Pelodiscus sinensis: one gene and its partners. The protein of the gene in region 2 interacts with the protein of the main gene of each other region in a biochemical or structural test. Links are inferred from orthologs where the notes say so. Each region holds a gene or a part of one and is shown on either strand. Other genes may lie near its edges. The genes, in order: guanine nucleotide-binding protein G(q) subunit alpha, RGS4 and GNAO1.

Evidence for each region.
Region 1: the proteins of RGS4 (region 2) and guanine nucleotide-binding protein G(q) subunit alpha form a complex in vitro, tested with the Homo sapiens proteins (3 studies listed by BioGRID). The link is inferred for Pelodiscus sinensis from reciprocal best matches to the Homo sapiens genes RGS4 and GNAQ.
Region 3: the proteins of RGS4 (region 2) and GNAO1 form a complex in vitro, tested with the Homo sapiens proteins (2 studies listed by BioGRID). The link is inferred for Pelodiscus sinensis from reciprocal best matches to the Homo sapiens genes RGS4 and GNAO1.

What each region holds. Positions count from the first base shown.
Region 1 is NC_134716.1:37,304,109-37,311,258, forward strand, and holds the start of guanine nucleotide-binding protein G(q) subunit alpha, read right to left. Parts: upstream 3,009-7,150; 5' UTR 2,623-3,008; coding exon 2,487-2,622; intron 1-2,486.
Region 2 is NC_134719.1:65,678,859-65,685,910, forward strand, and holds the start of RGS4 (regulator of G-protein signaling 4), read left to right. Parts: upstream 1-4,019; 5' UTR 4,020-4,130; coding exon 4,131-4,423; intron 4,424-7,052. UniProt on the Homo sapiens protein: Inhibits signal transduction by increasing the GTPase activity of G protein alpha subunits thereby driving them into their inactive GDP-bound form. Activity on G(z)-alpha is inhibited by phosphorylation of the G-protein.
Region 3 is NC_134722.1:44,556,767-44,564,610, forward strand, and holds the start of GNAO1 (guanine nucleotide-binding protein G(o) subunit alpha), read right to left. Parts: upstream 3,071-7,844; 5' UTR 2,612-3,070; coding exon 2,494-2,611; intron 2,268-2,493; coding exon 2,225-2,267; intron 1-2,224. UniProt on the Homo sapiens protein: Guanine nucleotide-binding proteins (G proteins) function as transducers downstream of G protein-coupled receptors (GPCRs) in numerous signaling cascades.

The DNA of each region.
Region 1 (7,150 bases), on a different chromosome or scaffold from region 2:
ACACAAGCCAACTGAAAAATATCCCCCTCTCCAAATTATTTCAGTACACTAATTTTATATTTGGGTCCTGGAAGCAGCTCTGTGCAGGCAAATCACTGTCTCTGCCCTGAGACCCAGTGACTTCAAGTGGAGTTTGCCTTCACAGAGCTCCCTGTAGAATCAGAACCATAGGTGTTAATTGTGACACCAGTACACATCATTAACAGTAAGGAGCATGATTTTTAAGTTGACAATCTCCTTTAATTAGAGTGTACTCTTTTGAAAGTAGAATAGTGACAGCTTGTATACAATAGGAATTTCTGGAGTGGGATTGTTACAGTTGTGCATATGAGCACTGGAGATGGGTTACTTTGTATAAAGCAAGTATTGCATCAGGACCACTTCTCTCCGTTGCGAGTAAACCACACCAGTGCAAACTCACATTACACTAATGCAGCACATCAACATTGAAGGTTTGCACTGTTGTACCTACACAGAAAAACCCTGAGCTTTCTCAATAGTTCTATAAATTAAGAGCTCTCCTGACCCATCTATTTGCACTGAAACTACCCACCTTTCACTTGGCCTAAACTAAAGCAATGCCAAAATTAGGCACTAAGTCTGCCATGAGTTATACACTTACTTAACTTTACAAGTGAATGGACTCCACTAAAATCAATGACACTACTCATTCATTAAGTTAAGCATGAGCATGACTGACAACAGTATTGGGGCCTAAATCTTTGAAATTATATAAATTAATATATTTAAGTTCCCTTGTCCCCATTCTGGGAGCACACAGAAAACACCCCTAATAAACTTCACACTTTCGTAGAACCTTGGGCAAAATCCTGTAGCATTATTGCCAGAAATAAGGAAAATGCAGAAATCATGTGGACTTGTACGACAAGCCAAATATGATAAAAAATACTTCTTGAATCTGTTAAGTCAGTGTCCATAAACTAAAGCAAATGCAAGCTATATAATTTGTAATTCACATCTTGTCTTGAATTCTAAAATAATCACAATGTGCAAAACTAGGCCAAAATCATATACGCAAAGCAATTTTTATCTCTCTCTCTCTCTCCTGATCATTCCTCCACACCCATTATTCCAACTTCCGAAGAGAAAATGTGTTACTGAAGGAAAACTGCAAATTAATTTAAAAGAATATGGTCATACAAAGTCATTCTCATGTTTGCATATTTTGAACCAGCTTTAACATATTTAAACCCATATCAATAACAACCTTTATGTATAAAACAAGATAGTACATTTGCACTAAAGCAGACAATACACATCTTTTGCATGTGATGTATTCAGTTTTATAACCCCACATACACGCACATCAGGCTCTTGTGCAGACATTTTTAGGCACTGTTAGTCCAAAGCATTAACTACATCTACCATGATAACTGTGTATTAAAAAAAATCTTATGACCAAATAATTGTATTATTTCTAATTCAAAAGTATTATTTTAGCAGATACAAAGTCAAATAGGGACACACTAGTTTCTGTACAATAACTGTAATATAATTACAGTTATTGTACAGAAACTGCCGAAATTAAGAGGAAATTCTGTTGTATATGGTAAATTGTATTTCTTATCCAGTGGGTGGATTCCGAAGATACTCCAGATCCTGTCATTCTCTAACATACTGTAGGTTATTATTCAGTTTCATGGTCTTTGTATGGTGGTGCTGTTATTGTAAAAAATTAGCCTATAATCTGAATGTAACCCTTCATCTCCGTTTCCATGTTTTAGTGTTATTTTTATTTAATGAAGCAATCAGCCACCCTGCAATCTTTCGGAAGGCTCTCAGAACAATGCAGACATTAAAGCTTGCCACCATCAATCTGCAAAGCAACTCCGCCTGTGAGTCCTTTCATTTAGCTGCTGCCTTGCAATTTTCCCTTACACCCACCCCCAAATGTATTTGCCATTTATGTTCTCTTTTCATCTCTCTATCACCCACCAAGTCCTCTCCCCGCTCCATTTTTGGAAGGCCAGTGTCCATTCCACATCAAATTGCCTTCAGGAACCAGAATCATGTATTTACCCAGCTACATTTTCATTTGCAAAACATGCCACCAAATATACACCATGTAACACCGTGTATTATAGCTATCTGGGCGCACGCACACACACACACACACACACAAATGTATCCGCTCCACTATCATCAGAGTCCGAATAAACAGAATCATGCAGATTGGAAGCCCCCGCGGAGCGAAAGCAGGGAAACTGAGTGTAAATCGCGTCCTCCCTCCCTTCCCCTGCACCCATAGCCAGACTCCCTTTCCCTTAAGACTGATCAAGGCGCGGATACAATATCCACTCGGGATCCACACACCGGCATATCGACTGCATAGGTGCCTACATGCACGGGCAAAGCTGCACTCCCCAATGCCCCCTGGCACCCAGTATGTGTGTGAGCAGCAGGGGCGGCGCGGCACCGGGGCAGCTGCCCGGGTTGGGGTGAAGGCGGCGCCTGCCCGGACTTACCCAGCAGCAGCAGCTTGAGCTCCCGGCGGGCGTCCCGCTTGTCCCGGCGGAGCTGCCTCTCGATCTCATCGTTGATACGCCTGGCTTCCTTGGCTTCCTCGCTCAGGCAGCACGCCATGATGGACTCCAGAGTCATTCTTCCTAACTGGTTCAGACACAACCCCCACCCCCCGAAAACTCTCACTCACACTCACACACACTCACACCCCGCACCGCGGAGCGAGGGAGGCACGCGCCCTCTGCCTGCGAGCCCCCACCCGGGGACAGCCCAGCCGACGCCGGGAGAGCGCTAGATGCTACACCCAGCGAGCAGAGGCAGAGAAAGGGCCCCCACCGGCGGCGGTGGCAGCAGCGCAACCCCACTATCTCCTGCCTCTGACACCCTCTAGTTCCAACTCCTCCTCTTCTCTAAATCATGCACCAAACAACAGGGAAACATCCACCGGAGCAGCAGTGCCCAGCAGAGAGGAGCAGCCCAACGCCCCCTCTTTTCCCTCGCTGCCGCCTGCGGTCACCTCAGTCCCTTGTAAATGACACCCGCTGAAATCCCCCCTCAGCTCCCTCCCAAGCAGCCAGCCCCCTACTGAAATGCTAATCGCGACTAACCCCTCCCCCCCTCCACACGCACATTTTCTTGTTTCTCTTCCCCCCTCCCTGACTTTGAAGACCAGATGCTCCAGGAGGTGGTTTTTGCTTGTTGCCGCTTGAAAATCTCTTGGAGTTTGCTTTGCTTAAGGTTTTCTTGCAAGTGGACTTTTCTTCCCGGCTTTCTTTGAGGCTGAAGGGGGGGCGGGGGGAGAGCTACTTGCTTGTGGCTTGCAAAGCAGCTGTTGCAGAGCTGTTCGTCGTGTTCCTGCCTTTCCCTTTCTGTGAGGAAGCGAGAGGGGACAATGTGAGAGAAGAGGAGGGAAGCAGGAGCTGTGGTGCATGCACAATATGTATCCAGCCAGCCTGACTTTTCAATGGCTCAGTTCCCCGGGCGTGGTAAGGCAGAAATATGGCGGACCTTCCCTCTCTCTCCCTCCCTCTCTCCAACCCACGAGACAGAGGAATATGTTACAGACAGAAAGGAAAATCCCAGGGCAATAAACCTTCAAACCCACTGAACAGGCTTTCACACAAAGACGAGCACCACCATCCAATAGCAGTAGTAGAAGGAGGAACAAGTACTTTTGCACACCAAATGGCCGCAAGGAACACTCTTTTTTGTATTTGTCCTATAGGGCAGGGCTGGGGAGGGTAACATATTTTTGTATTTACTTTTCATTCCTTTTTTAAAATCCATTTTGTTATAAACCTTCATGCTATTCCAGGAAGAGATGACTTTGCAAAGAGTTTAAGAGTGAAAGAATAATTCCCAGGAGGGGAAAGAGGCGGAACCTTTCTCCCTTCCGATGGCAATGTAAATTTGGGGAATAAAAGTTTCCCAAGGTCTTCAAGGCGTTCCTTATAACTGTTCATGCCAAGGAGTTCATATGTTGAGCTGAAGAACAATGGGGGAGGGGAGATTGTAACAATCATTATACTAAATAAAATGGGTAGGTTCCTTCCCTTGCTTCCAGGAACCTAGGATTCTAAAATGTAAATAGATTAATCTGTTTTACTTTTTATTTCTGTAGGTGTAACTTTGAGGTTATCCATTGTGTGATTTTGCCAAACTCCAAACCCCTTGTATATTTGTACTACTAGACCTTAAGTCAAACCATTACAGAGCAATGGCACATTATGGACTGATACATGATATGGATCCTAGCTTTCATCCATCCTTGATGTTTTAGCTGCATTTTGCCCTATTCCCACCCCATTTAAAATTAGCTATAATGGAGAAGGATCCTGTCTTGCTCCATATCCTCTTTCACCTGCCAGCTTCATGTGTGATGCTCTTTCCAGCACCTGTTGGCATATATTTTGAAAAGTATGTTGTGCTCACATGTGCAGCTGCTCATACATGTTGACAGTCTTAATTAAGCTATGCTCATCACAAGCTCTGAAAATTAAAATTTAATGATCAAAACAGTGACTTCTAGATTTTGAATAAAATAATTCTCATTGTTTCACAATTTTAAAAATATATTTACTTGTGCTGATTTGTTCAGCAATTTTTTTGACAGACTAAAAAAATAGTCCCTGCAGCTCAGTTGATTTTTGAAAATATGTTTCGTTTACCTTGCAAACAAAATTAAAATAAAGATGGACAAGTTTTAAATTAAATTCTACAATCCTATTTTTAATAAAAAACACATATTTCAGAAAAATCATTTTTTAGTAAACTGAAATGGATTTAAAATGTAATAACATGTTTTAGGGTCCCTGGTTTATGTATATGTTGGCAATGAATTTAGCAACATAAAGATACAGTTGATAGGCACTAGTTTGCAGTTACCATGTATATAAAAATGCTAACCAAGAAACAAGTGAACAATGACACAGGGGTCAAATCCTCTTTGCTTCCACTGAACAACTTCTTAGTGGATGAGGACCTGTAAGTGAATAAGGGACAATAAGGCAGCAGAATGGTGGTACAATGGCCAGTTATAAGGAACATATGCCGGAAACATGCTGTGTGCTCACCACACTGCTTGCACAGGGCCCGGCATGGTGCAAAAGTGTTTGCAGCAAGTCTGGGGGATGGGTAGATTATAGCAAGTGGATCTGCAAGATCCCAGGATAACTGATCAAAATCTCTCTGCATATTGAGAGCATAGCAGCCACAGCCCTTAAGGCCTAGCATTATAGTAATCTTCCTTCAGAAGAGGAAGTCTGACTCATCTTTCAGAGCACTAAAGGGAGTTGCAAGAGTCTCTCCAGGGTCTGAATACTATATACTAAAAATGTGAAGCTGTCATTTAATTGTAGGAATTCTTGGGTATGTATACTGCATTTATTCTCTACGTATCTCTCCCAATGACAATGATTTTTGCCATATGACCTGAGGGCAGTACCTTCCAATATGTATCTTGAGAAAAACCACAGAATAAATAGAAAATGTTATGAGGCTGGACTACAGAAATTGCGATAGCAGCGCATAAAAATGGACCTCAGCTAGTATCCTACCTCTGCAGGTGAATAGTACCAGATACTTTAGAGGAAAGTGTAAAACCTTCATAATCAGAATCAAGCAATAATATACCTCTAGGGTTTCTTCCTAACTCCAATCAGAATAGTGGTAGGCTTTTGTTCTAAATCATGAGGCTTTATATCTCCTTTTCCCTGTATATATTTATCCTAGCAAGTATATCTGCAAATGATACAATTATTAACTACAGAGATACCTAATACTATTGTGATTCCCACCAAGCTCTTTGCCTCAGTATCTGAGTTCCATAGCTTAAGTATATCTTGCATATAATGGTGACTCCATTTATTGGCCTGAATTTTCAAAATGACTAGGGATTTTGGGTGTCTGACTGGAAGACTCCTTAAGGAGAGTCTAGTGTTCAGGAAGTGATGAAGAACATATCTTCTTTGAATATCAGATTCCTTTAAAGTGTCTTAAATTGGGCACCCAAACACTGAGGTACTCATGATAATTAGTCACTTTTAAAAATTGAGGGTGTTGTTTTAAATGCGTTGCTTTTTATTTTCATTACCATCACTTTCTTGCTTTGTAAGAGAGAGTAAATATGCATTTGTGATAAACCTTGGTATACCATTGATAATGCTGTATATCTCTATCATATCTCCTCTTACTCCCTAAAGTATGTAGTGCCAGACTTTATAATCTGTTCTTGTACAGAAATCCTTCCATTTAGTTGACCCACTCTGTGTGTCTTCTGTTTTTTTAGATGGTTTGACCAAAACAGAACACTGCATACAAGGTGAGAGCATACCAGCAACATAGATGAATCTGTTATCATAGTTTCAGCTTTATTCAATATCTCATAAAACAACATCTTTGTGACTAATATTGCAACCCCATGCAGTATTTTGGGGGACCATTTATTAAATTTATGAATGGTTTATATATGATTGTGTTCTAAATGATGGGGAGGGTTACCACAGCTCCTAAAGGAAATATATACAATGAGAGGTATTAGGGCCCTGAAAGACTGATGAGCGACTCTTGATATATTTAGTATTAGGACTGTCAAGCAATTTTAAAAATGAATTGTGGTTAATCACATGATTAATCGCGTGTGCTGCCCCTTTGAAATGCTGCGGCGGTGTTTCAAAGGGGCAGTGCTGTGGAAGCCTGGGATTATCTGGAATCCCCAGCTGATTCCAGGCTCTGCTCACGCTGCTCCTTTGAAATGCAGCAGTGACGGCACGGATCCCGAGAGATGACCTTGGCTCTGTGCAGCACTGCCCCTTGGTAATGCTGCCACCGCGGTGTTTCAAAGGGGCAGCAGCAGCTCTGCGAGAGCCCAGGATCAGCTAGACTCCCCAGCTGATGCCAGCTCCATGCAGCGCTGCCCCTTTGAAGTGCTGCCCCGGCGTTTCAAAGGGGCAGTGCCATGGGAGCCTGGGATCAACTGGAGTTCCCAGCTGATCCTGGGCTACATTGGCCTTCAGAAGGGCAGTGCCGCACAGCTGACCCTAGGTGCTGCTCTGTTGAAACGGAGTGGCATTTCAAAGGGGCAGTGCTGCCTGGAGTCCAAGGTCAGCTGGGGACTTCAGCTGATCCCAGGCCCTTCCTGCGTTGGTGGCATTTCAAACGGGCAGCG
Region 2 (7,052 bases):
GGACACATCCAGGTACAATTTTTACCCCCTTCTGTGCCTCTCGACTCCAGTGGGTCAAGCCAGTGCCGGTCCCTCTATTCCTAGGAAAGACGAATATGAGGTGGGCGTCCCCGTGGAACCTCGGGAGGTCAATAACCTAACCCGACCAGCAGGTAGATGGTAGATTGACACTCAAAGTGAGTGTGCTGCTGGACCCATCTTTATACCCCTGGGCTGTGTCTAGACTGGCAATTTTTTCCGCAAAATCATCTTCTTTTGCGGAAAAACTTGCCAGCTGTCTACACTGGCTGCTTGAATTTCCGCAAAAGCACTGACGATCTCATGTAAGATCATCAGTGCTTTTGCGGAAATACTATGCTGCTCCCGTTCGGGCAAAAGTCTTTTTCCGAAAAACTTTTGTGCAAAAGGGCCAGTGTAGACAGCAGAGATTTGTTTTCTGCAAAAAAGCCCTGATGGTGAAAATGGCGATTGGGGCTTTTTTGCGGAAAAGCGCGTCTAGGTTGGCCACAGACGCTTTTCCACAAAAACTGCTTTTGCGGAAAAGCATCCTGCTAATCTAGACGCGCTTTTCCGAAAATGCTTTTAACAGAAAACTTTTCTGTTAAAAGCATTTCCGGAAAATCATGCCAGTGTAGACGTAGCCATGGGGTCACGTATTTCTCTTTCTTATCTAAGATGCCAAATGGTGCTGGTCTGTCTTTTGTGACACCAGTTCTTACAAGGGAGTTGTGAACTTAATTTACACTTGTAAGAGAGAGAACTAAATTGGAAGTACTGGGCATTCTTTTCTCAATGGGAGATTCCTCTCCCAGGGCCGACTGTATGTGATTGTATCAACATACGTGCCAGCCAGGGCAGTTCTCGCAGCCTCGAGGTCAGCTTATTGCCTTAATCGCTCTTTCCTCATATCTGTGTTTTCAGCTTCTCAGGATCAGATGAGCCAGCATAGACTATGCTGATTTTATTGTTCCTTCTCTGCCCTGTATGCTTCAGGAACCTCAGAGAGGCAAATAAGAAGGATGTGGGCGGAGGGGGGGGGGGGGGGAGTGTCTGTCTGGCTACAGGGTCATGGGGCAGGACAAGGACTGGGACCAGAGAAGTTGGCCTGGGTCTCCCCGATGCAGCACCTTGCCACCAGGGAGAGTGGCCTGTATAGACTGGCTTGTCTCTGAGGCAAAGGGCTTGACTTCAGGGCTGCGGTTGGCCACAGAGGCAGGTGCAAAGACAGCTGGGCTATGTCTACACTCACGGCTTCTTGCGCAAGAAATATGAAAATGAGGCTAAGTGTGGAATATTGCTGAGCCTCATTTGCATATCTAATGAGCTGCCATTTTTGCAGAAGAGGCCCTTGCGCCAGAAGGAGCTGTCTACACGGCCCCTTCTTGCACAAGAAAACCCTCTTGTGCAATGCTGTTATGCCGCTTATTTTTCAGGAAGAACAGCATTGCGCAAGAGGGTTTTTGTTGCGCAAGGGGCAGTGTAGACAGCTCCTTCAGGCGCAAAAGCCTCTTCTGCAAAAATGGCGGCACATTAGGTTTGCAAACGAGGCTCGGTGATATTCCACAATTAGCCTCATTTGCATATTTCTTGCACAAGAAGCCGCGAGTGTAGACATAGCCCAGGTGTACCTGACTGGGGCAAAAGGCTGGAGCGGTGGTGCTGCCAGACAGCAGTGTCCTGAGAGCGACATGGGCACAAGGAGAGCCAGAGGAGCGCTGAGCCAGCTGGAGTGCCAGAGCTAATTCCCAGTCCGACCAGCAGGAGGTGCTGTGCTGGTGAGTTAACCCTGCTACGCACCCTGACAAGGGGTGAGGTAGCCTTAGGCCCCAGGAGGAGTCTCTCAAATGCCTTCATCATGCAGGCTGCCCCTTTCAGTCCCTCATGGGTCCACCTGGCCCAGCCAGGATCACGGTGATCCAGCCCCCTTCTCCCAGGACCCTGCCAGACCGACTGTGCCCTGCTCACCTGAGTGACTTAGTCACTGCTATCCACAGGAACCCAGGGATAGATCTGACATGGCCTAGTGGGCAGATCGTAGGACTAGGGGACCTTGAGCAAGTCCCTTCCTCTCCCTATTCTTGAATTGCTAAATGTAAAATGGGGGTAAGGCTACTGAGCGCCTTTGCAGTGCCGGGACACCTTCGGATGGAAAACACTTGGCAAGAGGCGGAAGAATCCATTCTAGGAGACTGGAACCTAATCAGAATGGCATGTATTGTCCAGAATGGCATGCATTGTCTGGTATTGTGCTAATTACAGGATGTTCGTTTTTAGGACTGATTGGATAACAATTGTCTTGTCATTGTGAGGAATGAGATATGTAAGTGTCTCTTCCCCCCTCCCCCATAGCCATCAGAATGAAGGGTTCATAGTAGGACAATGAATATGTTTTTCAATTTCCCCTCTTCCTTCTCATTAAACCTTTGGTCCTATTGTTTCATCTAGGATTGCTCTGTGCTCTGCAGTCTTGTTCTCTCCCCCTTCCAGGCAAACTGACCCTGAAGGGATTTTTTTTCCAGGAATTACTCTGCCCTCTGCCAATCTGAAGCAAAATAACACCCCAGATACACACAGTTTGGATTCCAAAGAATTGCCTTTGGCTCCAGAATAATGAATACAAGACAAAAGGAGGAACCTGCAGTGCAGTCCAGTAAAAACCTGAGGCACTTGGCCAATGTTAATCAGTCCCAGAGTTGTATGCCTGACCTGAACCATCTTCCCTTTGCAAAATGTGTTGGGTAGAATTTTGTATGTTTTACTGAAGTGATGTATGCTGAAGGGGCTGGCCTGAGAGACAAGGTTAATTCCCAGTAATTTGGTGGCATCAAATGCACATCGAGCGTGGGAGTAAAAGGAGAGAAATGCAAATATTACTTGGCAGGCAGCAAAGCCAACTTGGCAGTTGTTCAGTAATAACTGGCTCGTGTGAGCCAAAGATCACACAGGCAGGGCTATGCTAATAAGAAGTTTCCACCCATCAGACTCTCTGACTCGAACAAAGAAGGTAAGTGTAAATGGTTTCTGGCTCAGGGCAGTCAAAGGGGGGGGGGGGGAGGGGAGGGGAGAGAATTGGCCACAAGTAGCTTGTGCTGCTAGTAGTATCTCTTATAAGAAAGGCCTGTGGGCATGGGTGGGAGGGGATGCAGATGTAAGCGGGGTCAGGGTAAGCTCTAACCTGACATCAGGGCTACGTCTACACTGGCATGATTTTCCGGAAATGCTTTTAACGGAAAAGTTTTCCGTTAAAAGCATTTGGGGAAAAGAGCGTCTAGATTGGCACGGACGGTTTTCGCAATTGGGGCTTTTTTGCGGAAAACAAATCTCAGCTGTCTACACTGGCCCTTTTGCGCAAAAGTTTTGTACAAAAGGGACTTTTGCCTGAATGAGAGCAGCATAGTATTTCTGCAAAAAGCACTGATTTCTTACAGTAGGAAGTCAGTGCTTTTGCAGAAATTCAAGCAGCCGGTGTAGATAGTTGGCAAGTTTTTCCGGAAAAGCGGCTGATTTTCCGGAAAAACTGGCCAGTCTAGACACAGCCCTGGTGGTGAACTGTGGCAAATGGTGCAAAGAGACTTCAAGGCGAGATCCCAATTTGCATAGACACACCCACCCCGTCTAGTATGTGCTCACAGCAGCCCAAATGGTAACTTTGGCCACTGTGGGATCCCCAGTCTCTCTGTTATTGAGGCAGGGAGGATAAAAGTGTTGTTACCTTGATTAGGCGAATCAAGGACAACAGAATGGTGGAACTGTTTATGACAGAGGGATTTGCCATAAACTAAGTAGCACTCGCTACACAAGGGGCATGGGTTCCAAACCAAGTCAAATTGAAAAAGAGTGGGGACAGGTCTTTGTACTTGGTGGTGAGGCCCTGGCTGAGCATCTAAACAGCACTGATTGCATTTTCTTTTTTCTCTAGTCTGGTGTATCAGAGCTAATTTTGATTCCATTAGGAGTCTAGTTGTGAGTTGCAGAGTTGAGTTCACTGTGGGTTAGTGGAGCACTAGCACTGAGGTTCCTCTATCGTGAACTGAACTTGCTAAAGACCTGAAATCAGTGTGTGCTGTGGGGAGCCTGGCGCTATGCTGCGGAAGAGCTGAAATCACTATTGCTGTGGGGAACCTGGCGCTATGCTGCTGAGCTACAAGCAGAACAGCTTGCAGGGACAACCAGCAAGTGCAGGCGGACAGCAGAGCGGTTTGCGGGAACGACCGGTGGGTGCAGGCGGACAGCAGAGTGGCTGGTGGGGACGGCTGGTAGGAGCAGCAGCAGACAGTCAGTGGAGCAGCTGCAGGAGCAATCAGCTGGCGGCCAGGGGCATGGACCGAGATGGCTGGTGGAGCCAGACAGTTCGTGGGACAGCTGAGGCGGCTCATTGGACGACAGGTGGACGTGTTGATGGTGGCGGCAGAACCCTACGGAGGTAAGGTGTATCAATCCCCGCCCCTCCAGGTTGGGATGGTAAAACCCTGCCAGGTGAACTTTTGAACCCTGGGGCTGCACTGACCCAGGGCAAAGACTTTTGGGGTGTTGGTCTTTGGGTGATTCGTGGCTGGGGGGAGGGTCTTTGCTCATGTATGGTCTGTGATTCTGAGTTGTGGTGTTTTCCCAAGTTCATGCTGATGTCGGTTACCTCATGTTATTAAAGGTTTGCTGCTATACGGAGGCTCTGTGCTTGCGAGAGGGGAAGAATTGCCTCCGAGGCACCCAGAGGTGTATGTAAGATTTCCCAGGTCACTGGGTGGGGGCTCGAGCCGGTGTTGTATTACCTTGTTGGGAGGAGACCTCTAGATACTCAATCCGGCCCTTGCTGCTATTAACTCGGCCTGGCAGAAGGGTAACATAAAGGAACCTGCCACAGATGGAGTTTTAGAATAAGAACCTAATAGAGCCATTCAGGGTTAGGCTACTGGGCTAGAGGGGCCAGTGGGCTGTTTTCCAGCTAGGGATGTTAAATATCATTTAATTGAACAGTCGATTAACCTCATGAATTCGTATTGGTTCATCAGCTATTCTATAATCCCCAGGGAGTGAAGCTGGTAGTCAGTGGGCTCCAGCCCCACTCCTGAGGAGCCCACTGCCACCTCTGTGTCCAAGGCAGCAGCGCAGGGTGCCAGGCGGGAGCTGGTCTGCGAGGGGAGCCAGTTTTAAAACTAGCTTCTCTCGTGGACTGGCTGCCTGTGGCCCCATGCTGCTGCCTCTGATACAGTGGCAGCAGCATGGTGTGGCAGCAGCCCCTGTCTGGGGTGCAAGGGATCTGAGCTCCCAGACCTGGCATGAGTTGGAACTGGGCTGCCTGCCTGCCTGGCTCCTAATAGACTTGACATGCAGAGCTGCAGTGGGGGTAGGTCATGGACCCAGTGCAAACTGGGACTGAGACAGGCTGCTGGCCAGCCTGCTAAAAAATTGACTGGGGGGTGGGGAAGAGGGGAAATGTGTGTGGTCTATAGTATTAACCTATAAGCTTTTACTTATCGGTTAATTGATTGATCAGCTACACCGTTACATCCCTACTTGCAACAGTGGCCAGTATCAGGTGCTTAGGAAGTAATGAACAGAAGAAGTGATCATCAAGTGATATCCTGTCTTCTATTCCCAGCCTCTGGTTGCCAGAAGCTAGAGACAAATAGTGTGTGTGTTCTGTAAACAAGATATAGATTATTGAAGGAGAATACCAAGGACATCCAAAGCCTGCAGTGGCAGCATACACAGCACTGAATGCCACCTCCATTCAGAAATTCTGATTTATAGCTTCGAAGTCCAGATGTTACACTGGAGAATCGCACTCCTTTAGCATGGATACTAGCTTTCAGGAAGATTGGGCTAATTTGTCAATACTCTTCATTTTTGAAGACTTTATGGAATAGACTGGTTAGGTATGGAGCAAGAATGATTGGCTTGGGCAAGTGGTCCTCTTTGGGAAGTCTGCAGTTGGGCCACAGTGTAAGAGAGGCAGTAGGCAGTGCTCCCAGTTGTGCATCCTGTGGACTGGAGAGGTAGCCACCAAGTAGTAGAGGATGCTGGAGGAAAGGGCTCAGGTGGGGCTAGGGAGAAAGCAGCCAACAGGTTCTACATTGGGCCTGCCACTGGGCTCCAGGAAGCTGTCAATTAGCACCATTTAGGAGCTTTGCCTTTAGTGCCCCCTGTCCAGCATCCTAGGTGGAGCTGGGCGAAGAACGGACTTTTCAATGTGGCAGCTATTTCAGAGGGAGAGAGGCTGAGTACAACAAATCCAGGGTTTTTTCAGAATTTTTGGCAAATCAAACTGTTGGTATCATTTGACCCAGAGCATTTAATTTTTGAGCATTGTTGAAGGGCAAGAGTCAGAGGCATTATCACCCTGGGAACGTTTGCAATGTCAGAGATCCAGGTTCAAATGGCAGCATCGGGAGGGAAGGGGGACAGCCTGCTGCCCATGTGAGGGCCAGCAGCAGTGGGCTAGAGCCTCATTACTGCTCTTTCCCCAGTGAATATTCAGAAGCAGTTTATGCAGAGTGGAACAGGCGAGCTGCTCGCCTGAGAATAGCCACTAACCCAGCCTGAGGCCTGGCTCTCCCCTAGAGCCGCAGAACAAACCTGCCTTGGCCCAGGCAGACGTGAGGGAACGCAGGAGTGCTCTGGTCCAGCCGCCATGCTTTCTGCATAAAATAGTGACAGCCCCTTCAGTCAGTCTAGGCCTTGTGTCCATGGACACACGACCCCTAAATGGATGGAGTTCATCTACAGATACCTGTACTGGATGTTCCTGCAAGGGGGGCTTCTGGACCGAGGACTGTCCTGGGAAGCAGAGCAGCAGAATAACCCTGACAGTGCTGAGGCCGTGTCCCAGGCCTGTCTACCTTTGTCTAACCAAGGGAGGGATTTACCCCAGTGCTGTACTGTTCCAAGAGCAGCTTTCCGAAAGGGAGGCCATCACATTTTTGGTGACCACCCAGGCTTGTATACTGCAAGAACTCACTTCTATGCTGTGTCTGGTTCCAAGAGCAAGAGCTGAATAGCCCCCCAAACAGGGGAGCTAGGGCCTTGGAGGTCCAGTCCTTAACTGGGCAGTC
Region 3 (7,844 bases), on a different chromosome or scaffold from region 2:
CATGAATGCTGCTACACAGAGCTACTGTACAGTAACTTGATATGCCTAGTCACTTTGTGTACATTGCTCCAGACTCATCCTACAACCCATCATCTCTAAGGCTGATTTCAATGTGTTCTCTTCTGGTTGAAGGGAAGGGATACATTCATGGATGTCAGCACACACACACAAAGCCATACCTGGATAAGTCTATTGCAGACAATCTAATGGACAGATGCATTTATTAATGTATTGATGTTAATTTGCTCCAGACCCTCCCTTTCCTACTCCAAATTTTCCAATAAACCAAAGGACAAACCTGTAACTGCAAACCTTTCCAAGGAGTTGAAAGCTGAGTGTGTCTTTACTGAAACACAAACAACGCTATAAAAAGCCATGGGAGATGTCTGGTAGGACTGCCAAAGCAGCTAAAGCCATGGAAAACTGGACTTCCCCGTCCCTCTCTGGAAGTCGCCTTATTTTTCTCTGAAAACAGATCACAGTGTCCCTCCCCCGGGTGGCAAAATGGCAAACAGCTGGAGAGCGGGGTGGGGCCCAGAAGGGAAGGGACCGATCCTGTTCAATGGCAAAATGACCCAACCTGCAGATCGCTCGACAATGCATCGAACGTGTGCGGTGGGCGGGGGAGGGCAGCGCACCGAGCGGCTCCGAACCCCTTCGGCCATTTCCGACGCTGCTCTGTGTCTCCCGACAGATTCCGAACGCCGCCGAGGCAGGCTCCCGGCGGCCGCCGAGCTTTGCCGAGCTGCCGGGGCCGATCGACTTTTCCAGGCTCTGCTGGGCGCTGTCCACCACTCGGAACGCCTGAAAGCTCGCAGCTGGCGCCGCGGCGTGGGGACCGGCCCGGCCGACAGCCGCTCTGCAGGCAGAGTCCCCTCCCTTTGCTCAAAGCCTTCCAAGGGAGGCCCGCTCCCCCAGGCCACCTCTGGCAATGACAGGCCGCCACACCCGCTGCTGGGCATCGCTCTCGGAGCCTCCCCCAGGGGGTCAGCGTAGCAACTCCCTTTGCAATCAGCCTTGCACCGATCAATAACAAACCCGCCCTGGGCCTTTAAAACCAAGCAGCAGGGACGCTCCTAAGCCTGCGATCAGGGGCTGCTCAGTGATGGCGCCACCTTGAATGAGCTTGTCATGGCTATTCCAGGGTAAGCCCGACATTTCTCATGTACTTACAAAATAAAAATACCCTCCCCCCCTTTCGCTAGCCTGCCTCGCCTCCCCCCCCCCACCATCACTGCTTACTTGAAAGAGAATCAATGTGTGTGCGCGCGTTTATGGCATAGCAACTGCCCAATTAGCAAGCGTGTGCGCGCACAAAGGTGTCACAGAAGAACCCCTGGGCAAGTCCAACCCTACACAACCGCAGCAGTTCGCCGCTTTCTTCCAGACAGCCTCGTGAGATTTAAAATACATCCATGCCCCGGAGAGAGGGTTGAGGGAGGGGAAGACAGAGGAACAATGTTCCGATTTGGAAAGGGCTTTTACAGCGGAGCAGGTTTCCTTGTGTAATTGTTTTAATGTTCTGTTCTTTTTTTAAAACTCCCTTAATTTTCATTGGTGATCAGCAGCCAACGTCTTAATTAATCAACAGGAAAGGCGGAAATCTCGGGTAAAAAGGGCTTTGAGTGGCAGCAAGCCTTGCTTTAAATCCGCATTACAGGCAGATTTTTAAAATAAACAAATACAGGGAGCCGGCCCAGCAGCTCACGTCAGGAGGTAAAACACGGAAGGGAGTGTGTGTTTTGAGAGGAGAGAGCCTAGGAGATAAAAACCTGACATTAAGCTTAAATGCAGAGGATGATGATGTCCTGGTTTCATCTGTGCCATTCATATCTTCTACGAAACCCATCCTACCCCACCCCCAACCACAGGCAGCTTCTCACACCTTATGAGAGGGAAAAGAGAAACCACACCACATCCAATTCAGCACCAACCCCATGAACAGCAGACACCTGGTCATCCTCGGTGAGCAAAGGGCTGGATCCCCCTCCATCTTCTTTCCCCACTAGAAATCACTGCTACAGATGTGCCATACTAATGGGTCCACAAGCCACAACACGATAACCACAGTAATTCTCAGATAAATATGGCGGTCACAGGCATTCTTACAACTAAAGAAGCCCCTTCTCACAAGCTCCCCCCTCCAAAGAAAATCAGAGGAATGTCTAGATTTTTTCAAGGCAAATGATCGACGCTTCTAGGGCGTTAGCCCCAAAGGACTTACTTCATCTGCTTGACAATGGTGCTTTTCCCAGATTCTCCAGCCCCTGTTGGGACAGACACAGAAAGAAAAGATCCAGTGAACGTGAGAACATAAGGAGATAAAGGAAATTACACAGAAGGGAGCAGCTGTGTTAACGGAGGGGGTTATCTTGGTGAAATACAGTTTCCCAAGACAGAATGTGCACAGATGGGAAGAAAACATGACTTAAGGAAATGGGTAGGGATGTGGTCGGCGGGGCGGAGTGGGGGGGGGGGGGAGCTGCTGCTTACCTAGCAAGAGTAATTTCACGTCTTTGGCGGCGCTGATCCCATCCTCCTTGAGATTTTTCTCAATCGCTTTGCTCCTCTCCAAGGCAGCTCTCTCCTCTGCGCTCAGTGTACATCCCATGATGGCCAAAAAAACCCTCGGCGGCCGCCTCTCCCCTTCTCAGACACTCCAAGAGAAAGGGGGGAAAAATGAACCCCCAGGAAAAAATCTGGGCAATCAAATACGTTTCCCCTTTCTTGTGAATGCCCTTCCCTCCTTTCCCTCTCTCTAGCAATCAGTGCATCCAAGGGGGAGCCGGGCAGATCTAGGGCTGCAGGCAGGCACGGGGCTGGTGCAAAAAAGGCTGAGCTCTTCCTGATGGAGGAGGAGGAGGAGGAGGAAGAGGGCTCGGCGGGGGGAGGGGAAAGGGTGGATCCTGCTTTGGCTGGAGGGTTTTTTTCCTCTGATGCAGGCTGTGGGGTCTCTAATGGGCGGCGGCGATGGCTGCGAGCGATCGCATCGTTCGGCGGCTCCTGGCGGAGAGGGAAGCAGAAGGGGAAAGCGAGCGGGCGGGAGGGAAGGAGGGAGGGGGAGTTGCGCCAGGGGTCCGCACTCACGGGCTCGCCTGCTTTGGTGACGTCCGCAGCGCCCGCCCGCGCATGCTCCCAGAGCAGGGTGGGCTGCTGGCGCTCCCGGGCCGCGAGCAGCTGCTCCCGCGGCTCCTGGCAGGAGGAGAGCGCGCGCTCCATCCCTAGGTGCAGCGAGGATCCAGCGAGAGGAGGGCGGGGAGCAGCCCCGGGGGGTACCTAGGTAGGGCCCTGTGCGCTCTGCAGCCTGCGCGAGTTGGGAAACAATTGGAGCCGGGGAGGAAGGAGCCTGCGGGTGGACAACTCGTCATTGTCTCCCTTTGACCCCTCCAGGAAAGCTCTGCCAGGCCAATGGACTTCGGTGAGGTTCAAAGGCGTCTTTCCCCTTTCCTCGCATGCATGCTGCCCCGTGCCAAGGCCGGGGGCTAGCCGAGCTCACTCTGTGACCTTTCAGCAGTGACCTCAGTTTTCCCAAGCAGAATTCATGGCTTGGTGGAGTGCCTGGAGTAGGAGCTGTTTTAGCAGTGCAAATGATTATTCTCCTTACTGGCCTTTCTGTACATACAGTGTAGCTCAAGCAGTGGTAGAAGTACCCTTAGGGGAACTTGAGAGAAGGCTGGGGGGGGGGGGGGGGGACGTCAACAACTGAAATTTGGAGAGAACTGAATTTTTGTTTGAAGTTTGACAGCGCTTTATTATTTTTGTACATTTTACACCCAAAAATTTCATCGCCTGCCCAGCTAAAATTAAGTTATTTAAACAAATGGGGTGCAATGGTAGACAAAAAAATTGTGTGTCTGAAAACTAGGTACTGAGGGTACTTATAATTTTGGTTTTTTTGAAAAGGGGTTCTTTATAAAAAAAAAAGGTTGAGAAACACTGGTGTAGTGAATAGGGCTTGTCTAGTGCTACTTTGGTAATAATGAGAGGAAAGGCTGGGCCTGGGCTGCAGGAGACCTGGTTAAATTCCTGGTTTTGCCACTTCCTGTGCTGGCCTTAGGTCACTTTTTTCCCCTGTGTTTCAGTTCTCCTCTATAAGAAGTTTCTCCTCTTTCTGCCACCTTTTGTCTTTTTTATTTAGACTGTAAACTCTTTGTGGGCCGGGACTATATATGTACTGTACAGTGCATACATTTACACAGTACATCTGTGTATGTACAATGCATGCCTAGCACTATGGGTTTTGTGTCTTGGTTAGCACCTGTAGGTCCTGCTGTCAGAAGGAGCATAATAATTGATTCTAGGAAGTTTATACACTTGCAGAGATGAACTTTATTAGGCCTGGGCAAATTTGGTACCAGGTGGGAGAGGAGACAGTGAAAGAAGTGACAAAAGGTTTTCCCTGATGAAATCCCATCCTAGGTTCATTCAGAGACATGTACATCAATTGCAAAGCTAAAGCTGAAATAGCTTAATTCGGCTTTTGGCATGGTCTACACAGCAGGAAGTCGAAGGAAGAACTCTCTTCCTTCAACTTCCCTTGCTCCTCATGAAATGAGGGTTACAGGAGTCGAAGTAAGAAGTCCTCCATCTCTAAATTATTTCATAGTAACAGCTTGCGTTGTAGAAACACATTGTGGCTACGTCTAGACTGGCATGATTTTCCGGAAATGCTTTTAACAGAAAAGTTTTCCGTTAAAAGCATTTTTGGAAAAGAGCATCTAGATTGGCTCGGACGCTTTTCCGCAAAAGCACTTTTTGCGGAAAAGCGTCTGTGGCCAATCTAGATCGCCATTTTCGCGATCGGGGCTTTTTTGCGCAAAACAAATCTCAGCTGTCTACACTGGCCCTTTTGCACAAAAGTTTTGCACAAAAGGGACTTTTGCCCGAACGGGAGCAGCATAGTATTTCCGCAAAAAGCACTGATTTCTTACAGTAGGAAGTCAGTGCTTTTGCGGAAATTCAAGCGGCCAGTGTAGACAGCTGCCAAGTTTTTCCGGAAAAGCGGCTGATTTTCCGGAAAAACTGGCCAGTCTAGACACAGCCACTTTGTAATTTTGAAATAACATCGGTTATTCTGAAATCACAGAATCATAGAACTATAGAGCTGGAAGAGACCTTAGAAGGCCATCAAGTCCAGCCCCCTGCCCAAGGCAGGACCAATCCCAATTAAATCAAAGCCGCCAGAGCTTTGTCAAGCCGAGACTTAAACACCTCTAATGCTGCTGTGTAGACATAGCCTAGATGATTACCTGTTTTGTTCATTCCCTCTGAAGCACCTGGCATTGGCCACTGTAGGAAGACAGGATAATAGGCTAGATCAGTGGTTCTCAAACTTTTTAGCCCACGGACCACCCAATGTGAAACTTTCTGCGGACCACAAGCTGATAATGTAAACTCATCATTAATTACATATAGTAATTACACTCAAGCCATTTTGCTATTGGCTGCAGCTAGGGAGAATGGTTCAATTTAAGTCATTAAACAGATTAAGAGTTTTAACTGTCTCATGTTCGTTTATAAAATTTCATTCTAAATAAAGTAAAATATTAATTTATGTCCAACACAAAAGGTTTCAATGTTTTCTTTATTTATGGCAGGGGTGGGGAACCTTTTTTGTGTCAGGAGCCACTGACCCACAGAAAAATCAGTTGGGGTCCACACAAGTGAGAAGCAAAAAAACTCTCTTCCAACACCCCCCCCCCCTCACAATCCTGGTGCTCCAGCCTGATGGGGCGAGGGGAAGAGACAGAGAGGACTGAAGTTCAGGGCTTCCCATAGGCCAGATTCACTTTTCTGGTGTTCTGGAGTTACTGGATTTTATAGACCTCCTTAGACTCTGGGGTGAGGACAAAAATGAGGGGTTCAGTGTGTGGGACAGGGCTGCCAGTGAGTGGGATAGAAATAAGGGCAGGATCTGGAAGGGAGGTGGGGTGCAGAAGGGGAAGAGGTTGCAAGGTCTTGGTGGGAGGTAGGGTACAGAAGCAGGCTGGGAGTAGGGTGGCTGGCTAGGAGGAGGGAGCAGGAGCAAGGGAGGGTGCAATGTGTGACCAGGAGGGAAGGTGCAAGGAGCAAAGCGGATGCAGGAGGCTTGGGGTAGGGTGTCTAGCCAGGAGGGAGGGTGCCTGGTAAGGAGGGAGGAAGATGGGGGCTAAGAGTGCCTGCAGATAATGCTGGGGTGCAGAGTGGCTGAGGGGGTTCAGGTTGATGGGGGCAGGGTGCCCCTGGGAATAGGGCTGTAGTTAGGGTGTTTTTGGGGGGTTCAGGGATATGGGGGGGAGGGAGGCTAGGTGCAGCACAGTGAGGCAGGGGTGGGTGAGTAGGTGACCCCGTGGTGTCCAGCACTGCTGGGGGGCAGAGTCCTGTGGGGGTCTGGTCCATGGCACCCTGGGGGGTGGGTGCTGAAGTGCCTGAACCCCTTCCCCCAGACCAAGTCCCCTAAGTGCAAAGCTCTGAAGGACCCCAAGCCCCCACCTGCATCCTGCGGGCTCCTCCCACTGCTGCCGAACACAGGGCAGCCTAACCTGCTACCAGGGAAGGGGGAGGGCACTGGCCACTCACACCACAAGAGTCTGTCCTGCCCAGCTGGGCCCTGCACAGCCAAACCTGAAGCCTGCCCTGTGGGAGCAACTGAGGGATGCGCCACTCTGGAGATCAGCTGCTAGAAGTGGGCCTCAGCCTCCTTGATTGGATCCACCTCGTCATCTCCAGCCTGATCCTGGCCTGCATATTTATTCCTGCCTCTGGAAATTTCCACTACATGCATCTGACGAAGTAGGTCTTTGCCCACGAAAGCTTATGCTCCTACACTTCAGTTAGTCTATAAGGTGCCACAGGATTCCTCGTCGCTTTTGCAGATTCAGACTAACACGGCTACCCCTCTGATACTCTTACCATGGCAACTGCAATGTCAGCAGGGCCTAGTTGAGGCAGACACCCAGCAGTGGGAGGAACTTTTCCATGAAGGAGGGCAGACCGGTTCTCCTCCATGTGTAGGTCCACAGCCCATGCCAGGGGTGGGTGGTGCTGAGTTCTGCTACATTTTGGACTCTATCCTTGTCTCTCCTGGATTTCAACCAGTTCTACCCTATTTGTTAAAATCAAATCAAGGAATGGACTGGGGATAGGTTAAAAGGGATAAAAAAGATAAGGGTGATGTCTACTACAGACCACCTACCCAGGCAGATGAAGTGGATGAAGCCATTTTAAACAACTAACAAAATCATCCAAAGCACAGGATTTGGTGGTGATGGGGGATATCAACTATCCAGACACATGTTGGGAAACAAACACAGCGGGGCACAGACTATCCAAGTTCTTGGATTGCATTGGAGACAAATTTTTATTTCAGAAGGTTGAGAGCTACCGGGGGGAAGCTGTTCTTGATTTGATTTTAACAAATAGGGAAGAACTGGTTGAGAATTTGACAGCGGAAGGCAGCTTGAGAAAGAGTGACCATGAAATCGTAGAGTTCATGATTCTAAAGAATGGTAGAAGGAAAAACAGCAAAATAGAGACAATGGATTTCAGGAAGGCAGATTTTAGTAAACTCAGAGAGCTGATAGGTCCATGGGAAGGAAGACTAGGAGCAAAAACAACTGAAGGGAGTTGGCAGTATTTTTAAAGGGACATTATTAAGGGCCCAAAAGCAAACTATTCCACTGAGTAGGAAAGATAAAAAGTCTGGCAGGAGACCACCTTGGATCAACCGGGAGATCTTACATGATCTAAAAATCAAAAAGGAGTCATATAAAAAGTGGAAACTAGGTCAAATTACAAAGATAAATATAAGCAAACAACACAGCTGTATCTACATTGGCATGATTTTGCGCAAAAGCAGTTGCTTT